Linked DNA regions of Rattus norvegicus. The protein of the gene in region 3 purifies or fractionates together with the protein of the main gene of each other region. This does not show direct contact. Links are inferred from orthologs where the notes say so. Each region holds a gene or a part of one and is shown on either strand. Other genes may lie near its edges.

Evidence for each region.
Region 1: the proteins of Prpf40a (region 3) and Sf3b1 purify together in Homo sapiens (co-immunoprecipitation; 3 studies listed by BioGRID and IntAct, with this or other methods). This does not show direct contact. The link is inferred for Rattus norvegicus from reciprocal best matches to the Homo sapiens genes PRPF40A and SF3B1.
Region 2: the proteins of Prpf40a (region 3) and Ncbp3 purify together in Homo sapiens (affinity purification with mass spectrometry; 3 studies listed by BioGRID and IntAct, counting the BioPlex papers as one, with this or other methods). This does not show direct contact. The link is inferred for Rattus norvegicus from reciprocal best matches to the Homo sapiens genes PRPF40A and NCBP3.
Region 4: the proteins of Prpf40a (region 3) and Snrnp70 fractionate together in Homo sapiens (co-fractionation; 3 studies listed by BioGRID, with this or other methods). This does not show direct contact. The link is inferred for Rattus norvegicus from reciprocal best matches to the Homo sapiens genes PRPF40A and SNRNP70.

What each region holds. Positions count from the first base shown.
Region 1 is NC_086027.1:64,022,804-64,028,810, forward strand, and holds the start of Sf3b1 (splicing factor 3B subunit 1), read right to left. Parts: upstream 3,917-6,007; 5' UTR 3,788-3,916; coding exon 3,760-3,787; intron 1-3,759. UniProt on the Homo sapiens protein: Component of the 17S U2 SnRNP complex of the spliceosome, a large ribonucleoprotein complex that removes introns from transcribed pre-mRNAs.
Region 2 is NC_086028.1:58,161,857-58,167,965, reverse strand, and holds the start of Ncbp3 (nuclear cap-binding protein subunit 3), read right to left. Parts: upstream 3,726-6,109; 5' UTR 3,704-3,725; coding exon 3,521-3,703; intron 3,419-3,520; exon of another isoform or gene 3,136-3,418; intron 1,781-3,135; coding exon 1,715-1,780; intron 1-1,714. UniProt on the Homo sapiens protein: Associates with NCBP1/CBP80 to form an alternative cap-binding complex (CBC) which plays a key role in mRNA export. NCBP3 serves as adapter protein linking the capped RNAs (m7GpppG-capped RNA) to NCBP1/CBP80.
Region 3 is NC_086021.1:58,094,474-58,100,363, forward strand, and holds the start of Prpf40a (pre-mRNA-processing factor 40 homolog A), read right to left. Parts: upstream 4,037-5,890; coding exon 3,872-4,036; intron 2,945-3,871; exon of another isoform or gene 2,944-2,944; coding exon 2,812-2,943; intron 1,382-2,811; exon of another isoform or gene 1,350-1,381; coding exon of another isoform or gene 1,302-1,349; intron 1-1,301. Other genes in the region: Arl6ip6 (ADP-ribosylation factor-like protein 6-interacting protein 6), read left to right, coding at 5,000-5,390.
Region 4 is NC_086019.1:105,005,656-105,010,985, forward strand, and holds part of Snrnp70 (U1 small nuclear ribonucleoprotein 70 kDa), read right to left. Parts: intron 3,872-5,330; coding exon 3,809-3,871; intron 3,636-3,808; coding exon 3,581-3,635; intron 1-3,580. UniProt on the Homo sapiens protein: Component of the spliceosomal U1 snRNP, which is essential for recognition of the pre-mRNA 5' splice-site and the subsequent assembly of the spliceosome. SNRNP70 binds to the loop I region of U1-snRNA.

The DNA.
Region 1 (6,007 bases), on a different chromosome or scaffold from region 3:
GTAGGCAAAGGGTTACTCTAGCTTAAGATACAAAGTGAGGATGTAATGGTGCATGCCTTTAATCCCAGCACTTGGGAAGCAGAGGCAGACAGATCTGTGAGTTTGAGACCAGTCAGGGATACATGGAGAAACCCTGAATGGGTCTCAAAACAAACAAACAAGCAAAGAGAGTAACCAGCCAGCCATGTCCACACACTATTTCCAAGAGAAACCAAAAGTGAGGTCTAGCAAGATGGCTCAGCAGCTAAAGGCTCTTGCAGAAAGCCTGAAAACTGGAATCCAACTTCAGAAAGTTGTCCTGACTTCCACATGGTGACAGAAGCAGAAATACAAAACACAATACATAAATTTAAGGGAAAAACTAAAACAAAAATAAATACGATCCACTTCTATGAGCCTTTTTCCATAAAACTACAGGGTGTGAATTCACATGCCTACAATTCTAGCACTGAAGAGATAGAAAAATCAGAAGTCAAGACCAGCCTGGACTACAAAAGACCCTTTCTCCAAAAGTAGTAAAATAAATCTAATACATGTTAATCTATCAAATAAATGTTGATTTAACACTTGGATACATATTATAGACCAGGTGCTGGAGCTATCAAGGCACATATAATTCCTGTGCACACCAATGGTAGAGAAAGCTTTAATGAGATTACTCTGATTAAAGGTGTGAACTCACTTCCTGCCAAACCTGACATCCCAGAACCTTCATCGTGGAAGGAGTGAACAACTCTTCCAAGTTGTCCTGATATTTGCACAAAGCAAATATAAATATAAAAAATTTTCAAAAGCCCTACTTTAAACAAGCATGGTGGTGCATAAGTCTGATCCCAGCACTTGGGGGATAGAGGCAAGCCAATCCAAAGCCAGCATAGCCTACCCAGAGTTTCAGGACAGCAGAAACTACATGGAGAAACTGTCTCAAAAAACAGAAAGTTCGAGGCCAGCCTGATATACAGAGCAAATTCCAAGGCAAAGCCACAAAACAAACAAACCTACCAACAAAAAAAAAAAAACAAAAAGACTAAGACAATGAAGACTTATACTGAGGGCCACACCCCTCAGGAAAACGAATTTTGCTCCATGTTACAGTGACTTAAATGACAGTTGTAAAACACTATATTCTCCAGGAAAACGTCATTAAGAGAGCAAGAGGCCATGAAAATGCTATATACAGTTCTACTAAAAAGTTATGAGATGGGCGGTGGTGATGCGAGAATTTTAATCCCAGTACTTAAGAAACACAGATTAATCTGTGTTCAAGGCCCAGCCCCGTGTACAGAATTCCAGGTCAGCTAGGTCCAGCCAGGTCTATACAGGGAAACCCTGTCTTTGGGGGGTGGGGGGGTGGTGTTAGCATCTGACTTATACCTAATAGTGACATACAGCACCCTGCATTCAAACAGCACTTGTACAATACTAATTAATTCAACGATAAAATAATCCTAATTAGCAATTTCTGCCAATGACCTACAACTGACCAACAAGTTTGCTGGACTTCTACAATGAAAAAAACAAGAAAGAAAGAAAGAAAGAAAGAAAGAAAGAAAGAAAGAAAGAAAGAAAGAAAGAAAGAAAGAAAATAAATAAATTCATCCCTAAACTTTACATTTACCAGCGCTAGAAAAATGGCTCTGCAGCTAAGAGCAGTGGCTGCTCTTCCAGAGGACCTGGGTTCAGTTCCCAGCACCCATGTGGAAGCTTCCAACTGTCTTTTACTCCACTTCCAGGGAATCTGACACCCTCACAGACATATATGTAGGAAAAACACTACTGCACATAAAATAAACTTTACATTTTCTAACAGGGAGTATGTTACATTGAAGATATCAATAAGCCAACAATCAAAGCTACAAAATATCCATAAATAAATAACCTATCAGGGCATGAAACTCTACCTATGCAGCTATGGAGATGCCAGCATGCAGTAAACCATGCTTCTGTCAGTAAACACTTCCCCTCATACCAGGCTCTGTAAGCCCAAAAAACTCACTGGTTCCCCAGAATGAAATAACCTAGCGACAGTGTTCGCACATACATGAAATAAATCATTCTTTAAAGAAAGAGAGAGAGAGATTGCAATTTAAAAAAAAAAAAAAAACCGGGGTTGGGGATTTAGCTCAGTGGTAGAGCGCTTAGCAAGCGCAAGACCTTGGGTTCGGTCCCCAGCTCCAGGAAAAAAAAAAAAAAAAAAAAAAAACATAAAGAAGGGGAGGGGGAGGGGTTAGGGGGATGTTTGCCCGGAAACCGGGAAAGGGAATAACACTCGAAATGTAAATAAGAAATACTCAAGTTAATAAAAAAAAAAAAAAAAAAGTCTTGGACTAGCCAGACATAGCACACTCGGGCCTTTTAACCTTGTAGACTAGGGCCTATTCTTGTCTACATAGGAAGTTTCAGGGCAACAGGGATCACTATGTAATCTCAGAAAAGAAAAAAAGAAAACAAAAACATGTGTTGTACTTTCAGTTTAAAAACAAAAGACTAAGGCGTTAACATTTCTGGCTTTCAAAAGTGTTGATACTTTCAGTTCCTCCAATGTCCCAACAATCACCTTTTGGTCCTAAACCATCTCTCTAGAATCGTATCGGAATTCCCTCCTTACACCCTAGTCCACCACAACAACGAGTCACTTACGAGTCACGAGTGTTCTTACAAGATGTTCCCTCGGGCTCAGACATCCTCCTCTAATTTAAAACTGATTGATCCTTTTTTATCAGCACCACGTCACCACCTCCCAAAAATAACTATGCATAAATTAATGGCTCCGTTACCCAGCTTCTCAGAAAGTATTGGCTTTACTTCTCTGTACACATTCCTTTTCTAAGAGAATAAAGACTCACGTTTGTTTTCCACATCAAACTGTCAAATTTCTAACATCCTTAGCTTGTTACCTCTCTCTAACACCAAGACACACACTTAGAAAGGACTTGTTTAGTGACTTAGTAGCCATGTTGTCAGCGTAAATTTTGGCTTCTAAACCGGAAGCCAAGAAAGAGAGATTCAATCTCTCACACTCAATTCCTTCCCGTCTTCTCTGGTTCCTTCTTTATGGAATCCGGTAGCTTTTCAACATGTTTCAAGCTGTTTTACTCTTGTGGGGCATAAAATGACCGACTACCCTGAAAACTTTGGCAACTGGTCAAATCTGCCCTTCCTTCCTTCTTTCTTACTCCTGGTTCTCCAACATTTAGCTCTCAAAGAAAAAGAGAAACACTACGCTGAAAGTGATTTAAGGAGTAAACTACCAGATTTTATGCCGGAATCATTTCGTGCAAGCACCACCACAACATAACCCAGCCGCCTGGAGATACCTATACAACGGAGGTTTGAAGTAACAGGCCTCCGCTGAAACGGACTCCGTTAAGAGCGGCCCGAAAGCGGCTGCCGTCATTCAGGGCTTTCCAGGTGCAAACTGCCAACGACAGCGCCCAGGGAGCGAGAGAGACGTCCCTCCCATGTCCGCCTCTTGCTCCCTCCCCCGGAGTCCTCCAGAGCAAGCCGCTCGAGCGAGGCCCTCCGGCCAGAGCAAGAGAAGTCCGAAGCACCAACATCCAGCGCGGAACAAAGCACCAGCCCCGGAGTGCAAGAGGACGCCATTACGAGGGTAGCGGCCTGCGCCGAAGAGCCGAGCAGGCCCCGCCGCGCTGACTCGGCCCAGGCCAGAGATGCCTCGCGAAGACGCCGAAAGCCAAGAGAGAGGGACGCATCTGGCTGGCTGCCGAGGTCGCGCGTGGGAAGGGAAAGGCCGCTTACCTTCGTGAGTCTTGGCGATCTTCGCCATTTTGTCCACTCGAACACACAGACGGAACTGGCGCTCCCAAGGACTTCCGCTCGCCTCCGCCAACACAAGAAGCAGGCCGCACTCTGAGCCTGCGCACACGAGAACGCGCGCCGCACCGTGGCACGTAGTCCAACTGCCACCTAAATAAAATTGCGAGGTGCATGATGGGAATGGGAGGGGCCAGGGCGGGCTCCCGGCGGCTTCCTTAAACAGCGAGCGAGGCTGAAGAGAATGGCTGCTCTCCAAGTGAAACGCGTCTTCTCAGAGCCATTAATTCAAGCTCTTGGAAGACAAAAGGCAGTTCGAGACCCGCCTGATCTACAAAGAGAGTTCCAGGGAAGACTGGGCTACATAGACAAACCCTGTCTCAAAAAAAGCAAACGAAAGGAAGGGAAAGGAGAGAGAAAAAAGAAAAAGAACAGATTATTCTAAGGGAGTTAAATGCTGGGGCCGGAGATGAAGTATATAACCCAGCCCTCAAAAGGTGAGACAGGAAGATCCAGAGTTCAAGGTCAACCTCTGCTACATAACGAATTTGGAAATAAACTAGGCTCTTAGCCTTGGTTCCCAGAAGCCTGGCTCAAAAATAGATACATTGTCTCAAAAAAAAAGGGAAAGAAAGAAAGAACTCCCAGATTCAGGACAGTGGAAAACAGAAAGGGCACCATTGGAAACTTTAGGACAGGTTGGAGAGATGACCCAAAGGTTAAGAAACGGTTGCTCTCCCAGAGAACCCAGATTTAATTCCCAGCACTCACATGGCCCCTCACAAACTAAGTCCAGTCCAGGTATCTGATGGACCTATGAACACTACATACATACACATTATTTTAAAGAAAAAGAGAAACTGTCTAGAAAAAGCTTGCTGCATAGCCTCACAATGAGGCATGGAGAAATATGGATAGTTTTTCAAGCAATGTTTCCTTCAGGTGTGCATTATTAAAAGGATTTGATGTAAAAGAAACTCAAAGTAATAGAATTGATGTAGTAATTACTAATAGGTTTGCTTACGAGACATTAAATTACACAAAGTAGAATTTAGCTAAAGGAATGCTGCCCTCAAAATACCCCCCAAAAAACAGTATGATACCCAGACCTGTTAAAGTTTACGATGCCTAAGATGGCAATGCTTGTTCAGTATTGACCAGCCATTAGGCCTGCCCCCACACCATAGAACACTTTCCTAACAGGCAGCTCAAGGGGGATAGGGTCACAAGCAGTGTTAAGTCCTGATTTGCAATAAAGCCCAGTTCTCTTCTCGAGAAATAATTCTGTCCGGTGGGCAAGATGACCCCAGGTAATGGCTAGTTGAAAAAGAACAGCATGGGTGTACTTAAAATAATTCTTGCAATAACTTTGCTGTGATCAGGCAAAGAGGAGTGACCTATTGACCAGATTTGCAGCTTTCTATCGCTGTTTAAATTGTTCTAAATGTAACCCAGGGCTGGGACCTAAATTACAAATTTAAGGATGGCCTCATACTCAGAGAAAATAAGCCTAAGGTGTATCCAAGTTTTGAGACAGGGTCTCTCTGTGTAGTCTTGGCTATCCTGGTGTTGCCTGATAGCTCTTCCCATGAATCTGTTTCTCCATCATGGAGAGAGTTGCAGCCAGTAGGTTAGTGGCACATGCCTTTAACCCCAACACTCTGAAAGCAGAGGATCTCTGAGTTTGAGCCAGCCTGGTCTACAGAGTAAGTTCCAGGACAGCCGGGGCTACACAGAGAAACCCTGTCTCAAAAGAAAAAGCAAAACAAATTTGAGGTTTTAGAGATGACTCAGCAGTTTAGAGCACTGACTGCTCTTGCAAGAGAACCCAGGTTCATTTTCCAGCACCTACATGATTACTAACAACCATGAGCTATGGTTCAAATCCTCAGGGAATCTGACCCAACCCCTCTGGCTTCTGTGGCACACACATGGTGCACATACATACATGCAGGCAAAATACTCATACACATAAAATTTTTAAAAAGAGAATTACAGGATGGAGACCTGCAGTTTATCACATGTGAGATTTCTTGCAGCTGTGGTACAAGGAAGGGTGACCAGAGAGGAAGCACCATAGCCCGTAGGTAGTCTGTGTTTACATGCTTTTTTATAAGGTGTGGAGCAAAATTTGGCTCTGTTTTTGTTTGTTTGTTTCCTTGATAGTGTCTGACTGTGTATCTCTGGCTGTCCTGGAACTCGATCTGTAAACCAGGCTAGCCTCAGACTCAGA
Region 2 (6,109 bases), on a different chromosome or scaffold from region 3:
TTCTTCTGGCCTTTAAGTATCTGACACAAACTGAGAGGGAGAAATTATAAAAAGCCAAGTATAACATACTTACTTTTATTCTTGTTTTTAAAGATCTAATATATATATATTATCATTATATATATATATATATATTTTACATTTTAAATTGGGCCTGGAGAGATGGCTCAGCACTTAAAAGCACACGGGCTCTTACAGAGGACCAGGGTTCAGTTTCCAGCACCCACATGGTGTAGCTCACAACTGTCTGTAACTCCAGTTCCAGGGGATCTGATGCCCTCTTCTGACCTCCATAGGCACCAGGCAGGCACATGGTGCACATAACACACAGAGGCAAACACTGATATATACACAGAATAAAAAGTACAATTGAAATGGAAAATTCTGTTTTAAACTGAACAGCACACATTTAAATCATGAAGAAAGAAAAAGTCTGAATGAACTGAATTAAAGCAACGTATGGACAATTTATCACATGGGAACTAAGAGGCTTCACTCTGAGGTATGATAATGGAGGTGGTACAATGGTAACGCAATCACTTAGCAAAAGACAATATTGTCAGATGCTGGGGATAATCAGTCGGCATGGCCCTCAAAGCTTAGACATGCAGACAACTTCTAACCATTTTTCTAAGTTGGAAAGCAGTGTTTCCACAGATATACATTAATGGCTTTAAGCATCCCCGAGGCCAGGGGCATAGCATGACTGTGGTTGTGCTTGCCAGGTAAGCCTAACAACCTGAATGAGATTCCCAGTACCATGTAAAAGTCCGACCCTGCAGCATTTGTCTGTAATTTCTACATTCTTAGAGACAGGAGACAGAGATGAGAGAACACCTCAAAAACAAGGTAGGAGGGGGAATGGAGAGATAGTTCAGCAGTTACAATCACTGTCTGTTCTTACAGAGATCCAGGTTTGGTTCCCAATACCCACAGGGCAGCTCCCAACTATCTGAAACTCCAGTCCAAACGGATCTGAAGTCCTCTCCTGAGCTCCTCACATCCTAGTTCTGAATGTGGTACACTTAATACATACAGGCAAATGCTCATACACAAATTTAAAAATATTATCAATAATACTACTACCAGCAAAAAAAAAAAAAAGTCAGATGTAGTGGCATATGCTTTTGATCCTAGCACCTGAAATGCACAGGCAGGTGTACCTCTGTGGGTTTGAGACCAGCCTGGTCTACATAGTGAGTTCCAGGACAGCCAAGGCTATGCAGAGAGATCTTGCCTCAAATAAAACAAAAACAAAAAACAAACAAACAAAAAAGATGATAGGTAAGAACCAACACCTGATGTTGTTCTCTGACTTCACATGTGTTACAGCATGCACACTTTGACACAAAACACACACATCCATCCTACATAACAAGTGAATGTTAAATAATAAATATTAAAATAAGCATTCCCAGTGCAAACTCTTTCTTGGAAATGGTTAGCACAGACAACTAAGTTCAGTGATTATCTTTTCATGGATATGTGCACACACAAATGCTGCCTGAACGGTCTCAGGATATATAAGGACATCGTTGGGCAGACAGATGTAGATATTTGACATTATGAGATATGTGTATCATAGATAGATGAGATACATATCAGCAACAAAAGAAAAAAATGAGGCAAAAATATTTACCATTGTGTAAAAGGTAAAGACCACATTCACTAATTCTATCTGCTTATCAACCTGAATAATCACCGTCTGTCTCACCTTGGAGGTGACATCGATCCCAGTGATGAAGCTGCCGGCCTTGTTTTCATATCTTCTGCTTGTGTCCTACCAGAAGAGGAAAAATGAGAAACTCCGACAGAACAATCCACCATAAAAGGCAGCCTGACAGCTGGCCCTTTTTGAAGCCATTCTTTTTAGCAACCCTTCTCCATTCTAACAACCCTTGTTAGGAGGAAGTCTATCTCTGAGGCTCCACAGTAGAAAGCAACCATTCTAATAAGAAGTCTTCTCCAGACCCCAGGCAGGAGCCTGTGCATAACATTAAGTAATTCTGTCAACTCAGGGCATCTAGATAAATGAAAGCCTAAAGTCTTTTGTGAAAAATGTCAAAAATGAGACAGTCACTTAACTCCCCAAACCAGACAGGACAAATTTTCTATGAAAGGCCACTAGGTGGAGCAAATGCCTCCACAAAAATGTTTCAAGTCCTAGATCTCTGGGAAAAATACAGCCTAATACAATGAAAAAAAGGAGGGGAAGTGACTAGAATGAGGACTGAAGTCTCGGGTCTGCAGCCAATACCCTGGCCCCTGCATTCAATCTCTAGGCCCTGCTTTCCTCTACAACATCTTTCTGACTTCTGCTCTCCTCTTGTGCTGAAGACAACCCAACATTTCTTCAACAAAACAATCTTGTTTTCATGTCCGAGACTTTTGTGCTTGCAGTCCTCCCTGCTAGGAATTGCTCCCTTTCCAACCAACATGGTTGGCCCCTTTTTGTCATTTAGGGTTAAAGCTGAATCTATTTCGGGGGACTTCCCTGTGCATCCCAACACATACCAACTGCTTCACATCCCTCCTGGCCACTGTACTTTATCCTATTAACAGGATGTGTTTTCTCTGTAGCACTTAACACAAAAGGAAATTATTTACTTGTGTCCCCTACTAGGGCAAACACCAAGAGGGAGTTTTGCTCTTCGGCACCTGGAATTACACCAGCACATAGAGAGATGTGTGATATATACATGTTAAACTGATTAAAGTCACGACCACAGTATAATCTATAGATGTTACCAAAGATATTTGTCACCACTACCTTACCCTTCACTATAACTTCAAACGTAAAACCAAGACCTGCTATCGCATAATTAAACGGGGGGGGGGGTTAATGTGTGAAAATCAAGCTACCCAGGCCTCACACCAGCCTTAGGAGCGGGCATGTGGATACCAAACCACAAACAAAACACTCCTCATATCCACTGTGGTTAAAGAAAGATCAAATGTCACCGTGCGTCAGAAGCTGGGACCACCAAGTAGACGCAGTGAAGGCACGCGGGGACATGAGGACACTCATTCACAATACCAACACACAAGTGTCTGCTGTTTGACAAGTCTAGCCCTCCCAACCGAAGAGCGAATGTCATGTTTAAGTGACACCAACTCCGCCGGGGTAGGACCCACCAGGAGACCTGGACGCCCGCGGCACCTAACACTTCCTTTCAGGACTGATCCGGTTCTGTTCCCGCCCGCGACTCCCTTTTATCTTCAGCCGAACTCAGTTCATTCGTTCCGGGCCACGGGCCCGCACCGAGGGGCAGTCAGAGGGGTGTCCCCAACTCTCTCCGAGAACCCCCGCCTCCTCCAGCGTTCTCTGCACCCATTTCCGGGCGCCCCGGCGTCCTTTCTCTCCGGAGCTCTCCGGGTCATGCGCGGCCCCCGCCTTTCGGCGCTCGCGCCCCTCGCCGCATTCCGGGACTTGCGCCAGCGCCGCTGTCCACCGCCTCCCCGCCTCGCAAGGGACACTCGCTCGGCGACCTCCTCCTCAGCCCCCGCCCCTCGCCCGTACCGGGAGCAGTTCCTTTAGGGAGCGCCGCACCGGCACGATTTCCAGCTCGCCTTCTTCAACCTCCATGGGTTCCGGCTCGCCACGCTCCAAACCGGATTCCACCTCGGGCGACGGAAGCCCCAAAGCCGGCCCAGCGGGGGCCTCCGCTTTCACAGACACTCGCAGGCCGCGAACGGCCGCCATAGCTGCCAGCCGGCCGCACCACAGAAAGCCCGCCCCTCACTCCGGCCGCCTAGAGCGCCGTCGCTGATGACCACAGAGAAGCACCTCTGTCACCTAGAGCGTCGTCCGTTTCTACCAGAGAGCCGTCCTTATCTCTGGCGCCCCCTTGGTGGCCTCAGAACCTGGGGCCAGCTTGGGGCGGGATTTTGCGGGGTAGGGGGCGGGACGAAACAGGAATGGAGGTGGAGCTTCGTCTGAGGTTCCAAAATACCTACACTTTAAGGACTATACTTCTAAGAACCGCTGAGCAGTTACTGCGTGCCGAATACTTCCATGGCTTGAACCCTTACAGTTCTAGGAATAAGATTTTATTATTACTTTCTTTTATTATTATTTTCATTTTACATAGGAGAGAACTGAGGCACGGTTTTCTCAAGGTAGGTTATTTACCTGGATCTAAGCCTAGGCAATTGTACTTCAGAGCCCAGAATGAACTATAATATATCATCTCGGCAATCTGAGCGTTTACAAAGTTATTTCCATAGTAAACTTTGTCTCTGTCAAGTCTTCCAGTAATTGAACCATTTTATGTAGTCAAAAAATTTAAACTAGGGCCCAGTGTAGGGTTACATGCCTGTCATTCCAGTAGTCAGGAGTCAGAGGCAGGCTCATCTCCGAGTGCCAGGCCATCCAGGGATCCAAGGTGAGACCTGACTAAATTTAAACTGGTAATGGTGGTACATGATTGTATTCCCCACACTTGGGAGATAGAAGCAGGAGGATTAGGTGCTCAAGGTTATCCTCCAATTGCACCAAGGGGCACTTGCTAGCTTGAGGCCAGCCTAAGCTACAGAAGACCCTATCTTAAATGGAAAGGGGGTGCTCAAAGATTGCAGTGACCTACCCAAAGGGCACAACCAGAGCGTAGACTCCATTTTCTCACTTCTGGGAGCTCTATCCATCACAAGACTCACAAGCATGATTTCTTGCAAATGTTTCTAGTAAGAATCTGGCTGGGAAAAAGGAAAGTCTGAACAATCAGACTTTCAGAAGGCACTTCTTGTCTGTCATGAGTCCTGATTTTGTGTCTCCTCCTATGTCATATTTAACTAGCTCGGGGTCCTTTCTAGACCTATCTCCCGATCTGAACCAGGAATATATATCTGAGACCATATATCTGAACTCCTAAAAATCCTTTCAGAGAAAGACAAATCATTCTAAAGCAGAAGAATACAAGAATCAAATACACTAGGTTACCTTGGGCATGGCACGGAATGTCAGTTCCTTCAGCAGAACAAAGAGGTGACACACACCTCCAAGAAGAATGTAAGGAACAAACGTGCTAATTATGTGTGCTTATGAGACCCAACACAAGTGGTGCAGCACATTCAAGCTTTTCTTAAAATGGGCCTGCACCCTGGGACAAACAAGATGGAATTCCTCAGAACGGCAACATCCATTGAGTGCAGTACAAATGTAAGAACAAAACTGGGTTAAAAGAATAGAATGCATTTTCTTTCCTCCCTTTCCCCTTCCTTTCCTTTTGTTCTCCTTTTGCTGTATTGACAATGGAACCCAGAGACTTGAGCATGCTAACAAAACCCTTTACCAGTGAGCTTTACCCAAGCCCTCTTGTTTGGAGACAGAATCTTGCTGTGTAGCACTGGCTGGCCTGCTCCTCGCTTTGTAGCAGAGAATGACCTTAAACTCCTAATCCTCCTACCTCTACCTCCTGAGTGATGGGATTATAGGCATGTGCCACCATGCCTGGCTTCCTAGTGTATATTTTATAGAAAGGTTTGTGTTTGGGATAGCCAGCTGTGGGTGACAGTCATGAACCCCACCATTACGCTATCTTTCTGGGCCTACAGAGTGGGAGGTAGGAGAAACAGAAGCGGTTAATTACTCAGCCACACAGGCCTCTCTCCCTCCTAAAGAGACTTGCAGCTTGAGGATTCAATTCAGAGGGATTTGAAATTGCAGTGCAGAGAAGCCTTGGGACAGCCACAGCGGGGTGGGGGTGGGGACAGGGACACATCAGGCAGTCAACACTAAGCTCCCAGGCTGCTACTCCAGACACTTCTCTGCCTCTCCGCCCACAGTGCAGCCCAATGAGGTGAAACCACAGAAATTTAGGAGGTGGTAAAGAGTAATTTTCAGGGGTTGGGGATTTAGCTCAGTGGTAGAGCACTTGCCTAGGAAGCGCAAGGCCCTGGGTTCAGTCCCCAGCTCCGAAAAAAAAGAACCAAAAAAAAAAAAAAAAGTAATTTTCAAAAAGTTACAGTTAGTGGGGCTGGAGGGATGGTTCACCTCATAAAATTCCTGCGGTGCTAGAACCCGATTCTAAATCCCAGCACTTATGTAAAAGCCTGACAAAGTGACAGGCATCTAAACCCTGACTGCTGGAGGGGCAGCAACAGGCAGATC
Region 3 (5,890 bases):
TATTAAAGATAAGTCTGAAAGAAATTATGGTTAAGTTATGCTTGCTATTTCTAGGTACTTACTAATAGATTCAGCCTGAACTGGAAAAAAAAATGGCTCTAGTTTCAACTTTGCAAACCCCCTTTTAAGCCTAGATCATTACTGCCTAGTTTGCATACTGTTTTATAAACAAGCTTTAAATGTCTTGTCATATTCAGTAACATTTCAAAGACCACAATCATCCAATTTTCTTAAGGGAACTTAAATGTGGGCAGTGTAGCAGATAACTGACAGTAGGCTGACCTGTTCCAGGATCCTGTGTATCAAAATTCAGACTTTCACCCTTGCATAAAAAAGTCCATAATATATGCATATAACCAATGGACATCTTGTATAGTCTAAATCATATCTAGATTACTTATGCATAACATGATATACATGCTCTCTCTATAACTATATAGCTGTTTCATGTGTTAAATGTTAATATGACAAGGAAAAAATCTGCTTGTGGTCTGGAAATTGTAATCTATTTGTCATGAACTATAAGCCCATGTTAGATGAAACAAATAGACATAGAATCTTGCAGTTATAAAGGATCAACTATTTTTGAAGATTATATAGCCCTTGGTCCCAAAAATCTGAAAATGTTTTGAAAAACTTTGGATGATAAAACTATACATTCACTGCCATGAGTGGTATAGGCACCCTGCTACTTGTCAATTATCTTCTCATTATAATTACTATTAATAATCCTGAGTATATGCAAACAGAAGAAATGATGCAGGAAAAACAATCAGTTCATCTTTAAGAGAAAGTTCAGAGCTTTAAGAAAGATTCCTAGAGTCCTCAAGGATTCAGCTTAGCTTTACCATGAGCTAGAACCCATGCTGTTAGCTAGGAAGGGGCACTGGATAATGATCTAATTTTGAGAGAACAACAGCAACTTTCTTGAGACTTTCAGATCTGGTCTCCTAAAGTATTCATTCATTATCCTCAGAGGAAGATGCTAAACATTTAAATAATTGGGTGTATTTAATGGTGTATAGAACGTACTGGACTAAAAAAAAAAATGTAGAAAACCATGAAGCAAAATTCAGAATATCTGAAGTGTGTAAGTAGCAAGTAAACTTATTAGGAAAGTGGTCACTGGCACAGCCAAAGAGAAGGGGCCATAAAACAAACTGTGACCAGTGTATGCCAATTACTTAAAAAAAAAAAAAAATCTGCACTATACTAAAAATGACTAGCTGGCATCTCAGGTCTGCTAGTGCAACAGCACCATTACAGCAAGGGTAAGCAGGTCAACCCCTTGCAAAACTTACCTTGACTGGCCCAATGGAAACAGAAGGCCCCAGAAAAGAAAGAAGCATCTGGCAGTAGCAAATTGTTTTATTTTATCTTTCTGTGGAAAGAAACTAATTTTAAATAAGAACCAGAGCATTTAAAGAATAAATATTTTTTAAGCTCATTATCTAGTTAGAGCAGCTCTATCAAGAAAACAAGAAGGGTTTTGTGCTGCTTAGAGATGGAAAGATACAGAAGAAGAATCAAGAGTTGTCTCTGCATCTCCTAGGGAGCTTTAAAGTATTGTTATTCTAGAGTAACAGAGCAAAGAATCTTTTATATAAAGAACTCCTGCAGGCAGAATCTTTTCAGTCTGGTGCCTTTGAATAAAACTTTTTATACAAAATTAAGGGCTATATTCCAAATATAAAAGAAAACCACTTAACATTGAACCATTCTACTCTTAGAAGTAAAATAAAAAGAAAAATACAACAAGCTCCTGTTTCCGCTGCAATTTCACCAATAACTTTAGCCTTCATTGCTTAAACCATTATCAAACTCCATAGTACTCATTAGCAAAAGAAAATATACAACTGACTTTCTAAAATATCTGCTAACCAAAATATTTCATGACTTATCAAGATACTCAATTGGAATAACCCAGTCCACCCAAGACTCTGTGTATTATAGCACCTAGCATAGGACACAACTGTTCATGGAACTGAAGCTCTTGACTTTCTTGAACATTTCTCTAGAAATCCTACTACCAGTGTTACGAAGTCATCTCAAAACCTTTTAATCCAATCACTTCTACAAAATGTCCATTTACAATCTGTGCTAGAGATGCAAGGGACAATGCACAAGTAGGAGTGTAGAAGCAATAATCATTTCAAAAATTAAGTAGAAAACGAGTATATACCTATTTGGCATGGTCCAGGGAAGAATTGGTAATAGAGTAGAAAATCCCCACACTCCCAACAAGAGGAAGATACTACAAGAATAAAATTCATTCTAAATGAAAACCCCAAGTAACTATTATTTTTCTGATGCTACGCTTTACACATTCACCATGACTGTCTTCTGATATTTACTTCTAGACCATTAATAATTATAATGCCTGAAAGAAGTCACTAAGTTAAATAGATTAGCTCTATACTGTCACTTTAGATTGTTTGCTTAATTCTCAAGATAGGGTTTCTCTGTCTTGGAACTCATTCTATAGACCCAGGCTAGTCTTGACCTCAGAGATCCACCTGCCACTGCCTCCCAAGTGCTGGGATCAAAGGCGAGCGCCACCACCGCCGGCTTAAAAGATTATTTTAAATCTTAACTTTGTTGAGGAAATCAGTTAATTTTTTAAAATACAGTCTTACTCCATTCAAAATTTGGTTACAGACATGATCACCATAATGCTTGTCTTGTTTGACCACATTATATGGATATAAACTAACCTTTAAACATCTGCAAGTACAACACTGACTCACACCTTAAAATCTTGAGACAAGCAAACAAAAATAAGCAAGCCAAAGTAAAAAAACATCTTCTTACTTGTCCCATTGGAGGCCCTCCCATAGGAGGCATCATCTGTGGCATCATTCCGTGAGGTACAGGAGGCATGTTTGCTCGCTGACCCATAGGGTGCATGCCCATTGGTGCATAATGCATGCCAGGATGCCCCATCTGAAAAACAATGAAAAGTAAGAGGTAAGACACAATCAATGTTTCTTTAAACTGTCATTTCAAAAACAACGACTAAAACCCATCAACTGAACTGAAAGTCAACTAAGTCAATGTGATTAAACTACAGGATTAGCATCTAGTAACGTTAATCTAAAATATACTACAGTGGTTATTATGAGGAACCTCAAAATTTACAAAATATGGGGAAGTTAATCCCAATAGCGGATTAAAATCCCTCTCCGATGACTTAGCCAACTGTCAAATGACTGGCCAGACTTGGTGTCTATGTATTGAATTCTAACTTAAAATTATTACGGTGAACCCAACCTTGTCACCTTTATACATATACTCTGTTTATACTACTTAAAATTACATTAATTTGGACGAGGTCTGATCATAAAACAGAGTGGGTACCCAAGAGTACTTCGTTAAGGAACGAATGTCTTAATATAGTTAAAATATCAAAGACTGTCATTCTGTCCCAGACACTAAATGCAAATAACAAATTCATCCATTTTAGTGAGCTAAAAATATAGTACTTCCATTGTTCCTGGCTTGAAACTAAGTATCCGCAGCCAATTCTCCCAACCAAATCCCCCAACCGGTGCAAATCACCACTACTCCGGAGGAAAATAAACTGCAGCAGCCTCTCCCTACCATAAAGCAAGCCTGGGGCTTTCAGACGTGCAGTCCGCCCGGGGCCCAGCACCTCCCTTCCTAAGGCATCTACTTAGGCCAAGACCACTGGCAAGTCCAAGGTCCCACATATTTCTTTGTGCGTTCCCGCCCTCTATTTCTCTCCCTTGGGACGTAGCCCACCATCTGGAGCTCTCTTCCTGGTATACTCGTCTCCTTTTGGAGAAAGCTTCCTGTTTCTCTGACTCGGTTTTTCATTGTGCCGCTTTCCCCTACCCCGCCGATCCCTTACCGAGGGCCGTCTCCTCAGGAAGCCGTCAGCAGAGACCCAAGAACTGGAGCACAGGTTTGAGCCGGACAATCTCCGCTCCCCGTCCCCGGGACCCCGCGAGGGAGGTTGGCTCTCCATTTCACTCACCATGAGGCCTCCACGCTCGGCTCCAGTCCCCGGCCTCATCGTCGGGCTCAGACTGCTCCGTCGGCGGCCACTGCCGCTACACATACCAACAAGAAGCGATCTGAGTGGCTGGCGCCCGCTGGGGCCAAAGGGTAAAGGCTGCCCTGAGCTGCGGGGCGGGATCAGCGGGGCCAATAAACTGACAGGCTTCCCTACTGTCCAATCAGAGCGCGATACCGACACGCAGCTCTGCGGCGATTCGCCCCCAGCCTCACTCGGCGTCGCCTGCATGGAGAGGGGGGAGGGGGATGGAGGAAGTTTCTGCGTCGAGTGCTCTGCCGGGGAAACTCTACCAACTTCCCCCAGGAAAGGGGACACGGCGGGGACCCAGATTCCCGGGTTTGGGCCACCGCACCCCGCCGGGGGTGTGGCAATGGCGTCGTGCCACCTTCGCCACCCCCCCGCCCTAGTTACGTTCGCCCCACAAACCTGAGGCCACCAGGGGTGGGGTGGGGGCGGGGTAAGCGGCACCCGGCGTTAGCGGCCTAGTGCGCGCGTGCGCGCGGTTGGCGTGGGGAGGGGTCGTGCCCGGGGTTCGCCGGTGGGGGGTTTGGGGGGTACGGGGCTTCAGAGCTGCGCGCGCCCCAGTGAAGGATGGAGGCGCGTACTGTAGTTGGCGGGGAGTTGTAGAGGCGGAGATCACTCGCCCGAGGGAGGAAGCGATTGGCGGTTAGGAAGCCGCGGAGCTGAGCGGGAAGCTGCGGTTATGGGGCTTGGACGGTGCGTGCCAATAGGACCGGAAAGGGCCGAATAAATTAAGCAGTGCTTCTCCGCGGGCCACGGGCGCGCGCTCACACGGCACATCCGCTAGCGGAGCTGCCTGGAAACCCGCTGGTGCACCCCCCCACCGCTCTGCGCTCGGTGGTTGGGTCCGCCGACGGCCGCCGCTGATTGGCTGTTGTCGGGGAGGGGCGTGGCGGTGGAGGACGCTCGACCTTCGCGGGTCTCTCAGTCTTTCCCGCCATGTCCTTTGTGGAGAGTTGGAGGTCTGTAGGCCCGCGTAGGCGCCGTCAGGTTACCCCAGGCCCTGTCACTCGGTCTGTGTATTCCGACTACACTCAAGGGAATAGCTGGAGTGAGGACGGAGACGAGGGATGCGACCAAGTGGCCCGCGACTTGCGAGCAGAGTTCTCGGCCAGGGCGTCGTCGGAGTCCAAGAGGGCTCCGCTACTCCCACGGATCGGGGACGGGTCGCCGGTCCTGCCGGATAAGCGCAACGGCATCTTCCCGGCGACTGCGGCCAAGCGAACCCAGGCTCGGCGGTGGCCCATCCAAGCCCTTTCCATTCTTTGTTCGCTGCTGTTCGCCGTCCTCCTTGCTTTTCTCCTCGCCATCGCCTACCTGATCGTTAAAGGTACTGAGATCCAGGCCTTGAAAGGCTGTCCAGCATAAAGTCGAGCCAGTACATCACACGCCCCCATTCACACTTTCCTCCCAAAGCTTTCCCTCGAAACTGTTACGGTACTTTGTCGTCCCCCCCCCCCCCCTTTGTCTTCTCTCCTTAGATGGGCGACCCTGCTCCATAATGAGTGTAGAAAAGATCCACACTCTTAAATGCTGTAAAGGCATTGAATCCTTGAGTTGAAACATAAGTACGGCTTATGTTAATCAGAGCCCCTTTTAAAAGGATCAAAAAGTGTATGTAACAAAAATAGGCTGTTGATGTTCTAAGGCTGAGGTTTAGAGACGTGCTGTGTATACGCTTTTCTCTGATCCTAGATACATTGAAGGACAAGGATTTCTCCCCCTCATCCCGGGTTTCTACTTTTATAGGCAAATGGTTTTTCTTTGTAACCAAGTAGAGTTATTTCAGGACAGTCTGTTCTATATACTACTTAGTCAGAAATTGGCATA
Region 4 (5,330 bases), on a different chromosome or scaffold from region 3:
AGGGCATGGTCATGGGCTGGAGAGATGGCTCGGCGGTTAAGAGCACGCGACTACTCTTCCAGAGGTCCTGAGTTCAATTCCCAGCAACCACATGGTGGCTCACAACCATCTGTAAAGAGATCCGATGCACTCTTCTGGTGTGTCTGAGGACAGCTACAGTGTACTTATATATAATAAATGAATAAAAAAAAAAAGGGCATGGTCATAACAAAAGAGGGCTCTTCAAAACTTAAGGCTTTCAACTGCACCTCCACTCAAGAGATGCCCCTCAACATTGCTGACCTCATCCCACTACCTGTCCCTAGGCAGGGTTAATCCTAGGGTGCTGAAAATTGGGAGGAGTAAAGAAAAAAGGAGTCAGGTTGGTGAGATGGCTCAGTGGTTAAGAGCACTGACTGCTCTTCCAGAGGTCCTGAGTTCAATTCCCAGCAACCACATGGTGGCTTACAACCACCTGTAATGAGACCTGATGCCCTCTTCTGGTGAGTCTGAAGACAGCTACAGTGCACTCATACATAAAGCAAATCTTTAAAAAAGTTTTATTTTTAAAAAAGAAAAGGAATCAGTGATGATTCTTGTCCCCTTTTCCTTTCTCTTTGACAGCCAGTGCCTAAATGTGCATATGTGTCAAGGTTGAACTTCTTAGGACTCCCTTGTCAGGACCCTAACACAGAACTAGACTACAGGAAGCCTTACAGCTAGAAAACTTCACTAGGCTTTCCATTAGTTGCTGTGAAACCTGAAACGCCCCCTCTTTATAAGATACTCTACAACTCCACAACATACTACTTGTTTTTCATCTTGCAATGGGAATAATCATTCCTCCTGCACGTACAAGTCACCATGAGTTCATAACATGAAGGACATCAAGTGCTCAGCAAAGGGACAGAGTCTCCTTTAATAGAAGCTTCTATAGTTACTGGGCATAGATAGATACCCTACCGTACCTGATCCATCCTCTGCTCTATTTTAGACAGTACAATGAACCTGCTTCAATTACCACCACAGGGCCTAACTTAATTGATCTCTACATTCCCCAACCCAACTTTGGAATTTCAGTCACATCTCAGAGCACACTATGTTGATCATCAATGCAATTGAAATAAATACATTTCAATAAACTGAAACCACAGTATCATTGTTAATGACTAATTTCTAACTTCATTTTCAATCCCTCGACTGGGGCTATATCAGAATGAAACCTGTATACACCACATTTAAACCCCAATCCAGTCAAGCTCAATGTCTTGCTTAGTTGATCTCCCCCCCCTTTTTTGGTTTTTACTCTGGAAACCAACCTCAGATGATGAGTCTTTTGACCTCTTATTCCATGGTCCCCCTATTCCCTGCCCCCAACTTCTCCTTGTCGGTTTTTTTTTTTTTTTTTTTTTTTTAGATTTCTGGTCATGGGTCTATTCTACATAATCTCCCACATTCTTCAACTGATGCAAGGCAAACATGGATTACAGGAAGAGATTGGCATTATGCTGAGGGCAGGAGGAAGAATTGAGTACTTATCTTTGGAAAGCTCCTTTAAGAGAATTTGGGCTGGGGAGACAAGTGAACAAGACACACTAATAAAGCACTGTCTAAGCCAAGAGGACCCTGGACATGGAATGTCTCACTTTGTGACATTTAGCAAGTAACAAAGGCAGATCTTTATGACAAGCTAGGGAAGTTATAAATGGTGTTGGGATGGCTCATCTTAGTTGACAACTTTCATGACTCTGGAGTCAACTAAAACCCAGGCAGCTGGGCACGCCTTTGAGGGCTTCTGGATTCAGTCATCTGAGGTAAGAAAAGCCAACTGAGATCTGGGTCATACCTTTTGTTGGCAGCCTACATAAAACCATGAATGAAGAAAGTTTTCTGCCTGCCTGCCCTGACTCCCTGCCAGGGTCATCCCTCCTGCTGCTAAAGCATTCTCTCACTGGTATCAGAGCTACTTCTTCAGGATTCCAACACAGACTTTCCAGTGAACAAACTCTTAGCCTTTCTGTTGAAAAAAGTCATTGTTTGACTAGCCAGACCACAGCCTGTAAGACACAGACACACACATTTCTATCAGTGCTGTTCCTTTAGAGAACCGTAACATGGGTGCTAAAGGCAAACTGAGTAGCAACATCTGGAAACAACTTATATAGCTAAAAATCCATTTATTAGGGAAGGCAAAAATCCATAGGAATTAGGAGGTGCTTCTGTGGCTTGAACATGAAGTATGAGGTGTCTGAGAAAATACATAGAACCAGGTACACAAGAGCTAGAGCTCTGTGCACTAACTTACTCATCATGTGTACTAACTACCTACAAGTTCTAAAATATAGTTTAGAAAAGAATGATTCAACAAGGCTGCAGACAACAGATGGAGATAAACCTCATCCTGTGGTGAGTCTTTACCTACTGAATACCAAGATCACTTTTGTGAGTCTGATTACCAAGTACTACTTAATCCCTCCTTATCTGGGTGTAGTATCTCCAATTCCAAGCTCAGGGAGCTGGAGATATGGTCAGGATCAAATGGCCAGATCACCCCATGCCTTACCTGAAGACACAATGGCATACGCCATGGTTCCTTTAAAAGAAAGCAAATAGGGCTGGAGAGATGGCTCAGTGGTTAGAGCACTGACTGCTCTTCCAGAGGTCATGAGTTCAATTCCCAGCAACCACATGGTGGCTCACAACCATCTGTAATGAGATCTGGTGCCCTCTTCTGGCCTGCAGTCACATATGCAGGCAGAATGCTGTACATAAAATAAATAAATAAATCTTAAAAAAAAAAAAAAGAGAAAGAAAGAAAGCAAATGACTGAGGTCTCCCTACATGTCAAAAGCATAAACCGACTGGAGATGGAGAGATGTCTCAGTAGTTAAGAGCACTGGTTGCTCTTTCCAGAAGGCTGGAGTTTGATCACCAGCAGCCACATAGTAACTCCTAACTATCCAACTACAGTTCCAGGAAATCCTATGCCCTCTTCTAATCTTCCACATGCAGGTAGGCAGAAAATCCATGCTTATAAAAAATAAAATAAAACATACAAGTAATGTAAGAAGAAAAGCCTGTTGGAATTTTCAACCCCAATAAGCCTATATAAAAACACACAATCCAGTTACAATAAATAATTATAAGCTATAAGCCTAGATTGAGCAGACCTAACACCTCACTAATTTATTCCCCAATGAGACTCTTTGCAACTTTCGGCATGTGGTTCTGCTCCATCATGGCTTCTTCCTCTTCTTCAGTCCTCTCTCTTCCCTTCTCCTCTCTACTAAGACCTCCCATCCCACCTTTCCCTTCCACTGTCTTTAGTGGTGACTAATTAAAATGGGGAGAAAGTTCACGAGATCACCTGAGTGATCAACTGCTTGTGGGGGACGGGACACCCCTCTTGAGGAAACTGAATTAACATCAAAATCATCAGGACAACCCACAACAGCCTTATACAAGTGCAGTGCCTGGCAAGTGGTTGCTAGGAAGGTGAGCCAACTCTGCTTCTCAAGCTCCCAGAAGAGACACACATGTGACCTGGGAAGAGGAGCAAAATGAGAATGGAGGGGAACACTGCTAGGAAGGAGAACCTTACACATTTTCAGCTCTGTCTCCACTTCCTGCTGTCGCCGTTCAATTTTTTCCCGTCTCTGCCAGTAGAAAAAAGAAGCAAAGTGAGTGTACCCAGAAGTACCTCGATGTCAGGAACCATTTGGAAAAAAGTAGCTAAAAAAATACAACACAAAACCAAACAAACAAACAAAAAACCCACACAAAAACAAAAAAACAAAACAACAAACACTAAGAGGTAAAAACAACATACCTTTCTCTCCATGCGTTCTTCCCGGGTTTCTGCCCTTGTTGGAGGAGGGGCATCTCGAGGGTCCTAGGAACAAGAAAGGTGACAGAGAATGGTGATGGAAAAATAGCAAGGAGTAGAAGGAAGACTCTCAGTATCTTCCATACACAAACGCCACACGTTCCCTGTATACTGACAGAAGACAAGAGGTGAGGGCCCAGATGAGGTATACCACAGACCAATGCTGACCAGACTGTTGCACACCTTTGGCGAGGTCAACATAGAAACCTCCTGCGTTCAGAAACTTCTGCCTAGTCCAACTAACTATGTCTGCTAGACATAAAAAAAATTAAGTCTTTTTAAAGGTCCTTTTTAAAAAACAAACATAGAAACAATCTTTGGTATTTACCCAAAGCATCAATTGCTGGGCATGGTGGCACACACCTTTATCCCTGCACTGAGAGGCAGTGGCAAACTGATCTCTGAGTTGGGAGTCCAGTCAGGCCTACAGAAAAAGCTCAGGACAAAAGAACATCAATCTAAATGCCTGTAGACATTTGACATTTGTCATGATATAGGTAACATGGTTGTAAGGTACAGTACCAAAGCTACCTAGTTCCTTCCCATAGCCAAGAACCCTGTCACAGAGGGCCAAATGTTAGAAATATGTCTGAAAGGATGGTGGGCAGGGCAGACCTCCAAAGCAAGACGATCTGTAACACCATGGCAAGTCATAAAATCCTCTCCAGGCTCTCATTAAATGCTAATTGGCACATGATCTGCAAAAAGGGTGCCACTGAGCTGTACCCATTAAAGTAAATGTTTATTGGATAATAACATTTCTCAAGTGGCATGTAGACAAATATTACTGAAGAATCACCTTTCTGTTATCTAGTAAATTCTACTTTTCCTACTTAATGTCAGAATGTTCTTCCTGAGACATCTGGCTATATGGCAGTGTTTCTTAGGTCTGCTCTGAAGGTGGGCATGACAAACTTTCTGCATAAGAGAACTGACTCCAAGGAGCTCAAGTGACTCATATGTACTCAGCAAGTACAGAGCCAACCCCTAGCTCCTAGCCTCAAGCACTGCAGGACGCACTGCTCAGCCCCAGCAAACACTATCCTCTTTAAAAACCACTTTATTTTTACATTTGTTTATTTAGATGAGGATGTATATGTATCACTGTGCATGTAGAGATCAGAGGACAACATGCTAAAGCATATCCTCTCCTTCATTGTGGATTCTAGGACCAGAACTCAGATTTCTTGGCAACAATCACTTTTCACTGCTAAGTCATGTCGTGTATGCAACCCTGTCCTCTTAATGACAAACACAGACATTTACTGCCTTATCCCAAATCCTTTAACAGACATTCTGTGACTCAGCTCTCCACTGGTTTCATCTTACTGCTACCTCTTGCTAAAGCTAAAGCTAACCTAATGCATTACATATGATGTTTTCTGGGTTAGTGGTAGAGACCTAGAACTCTGGCTCTTTGAGCAGAGTAAGCGTAAGTTCAAGGCTGGCCTTAGTGACAAAGGGA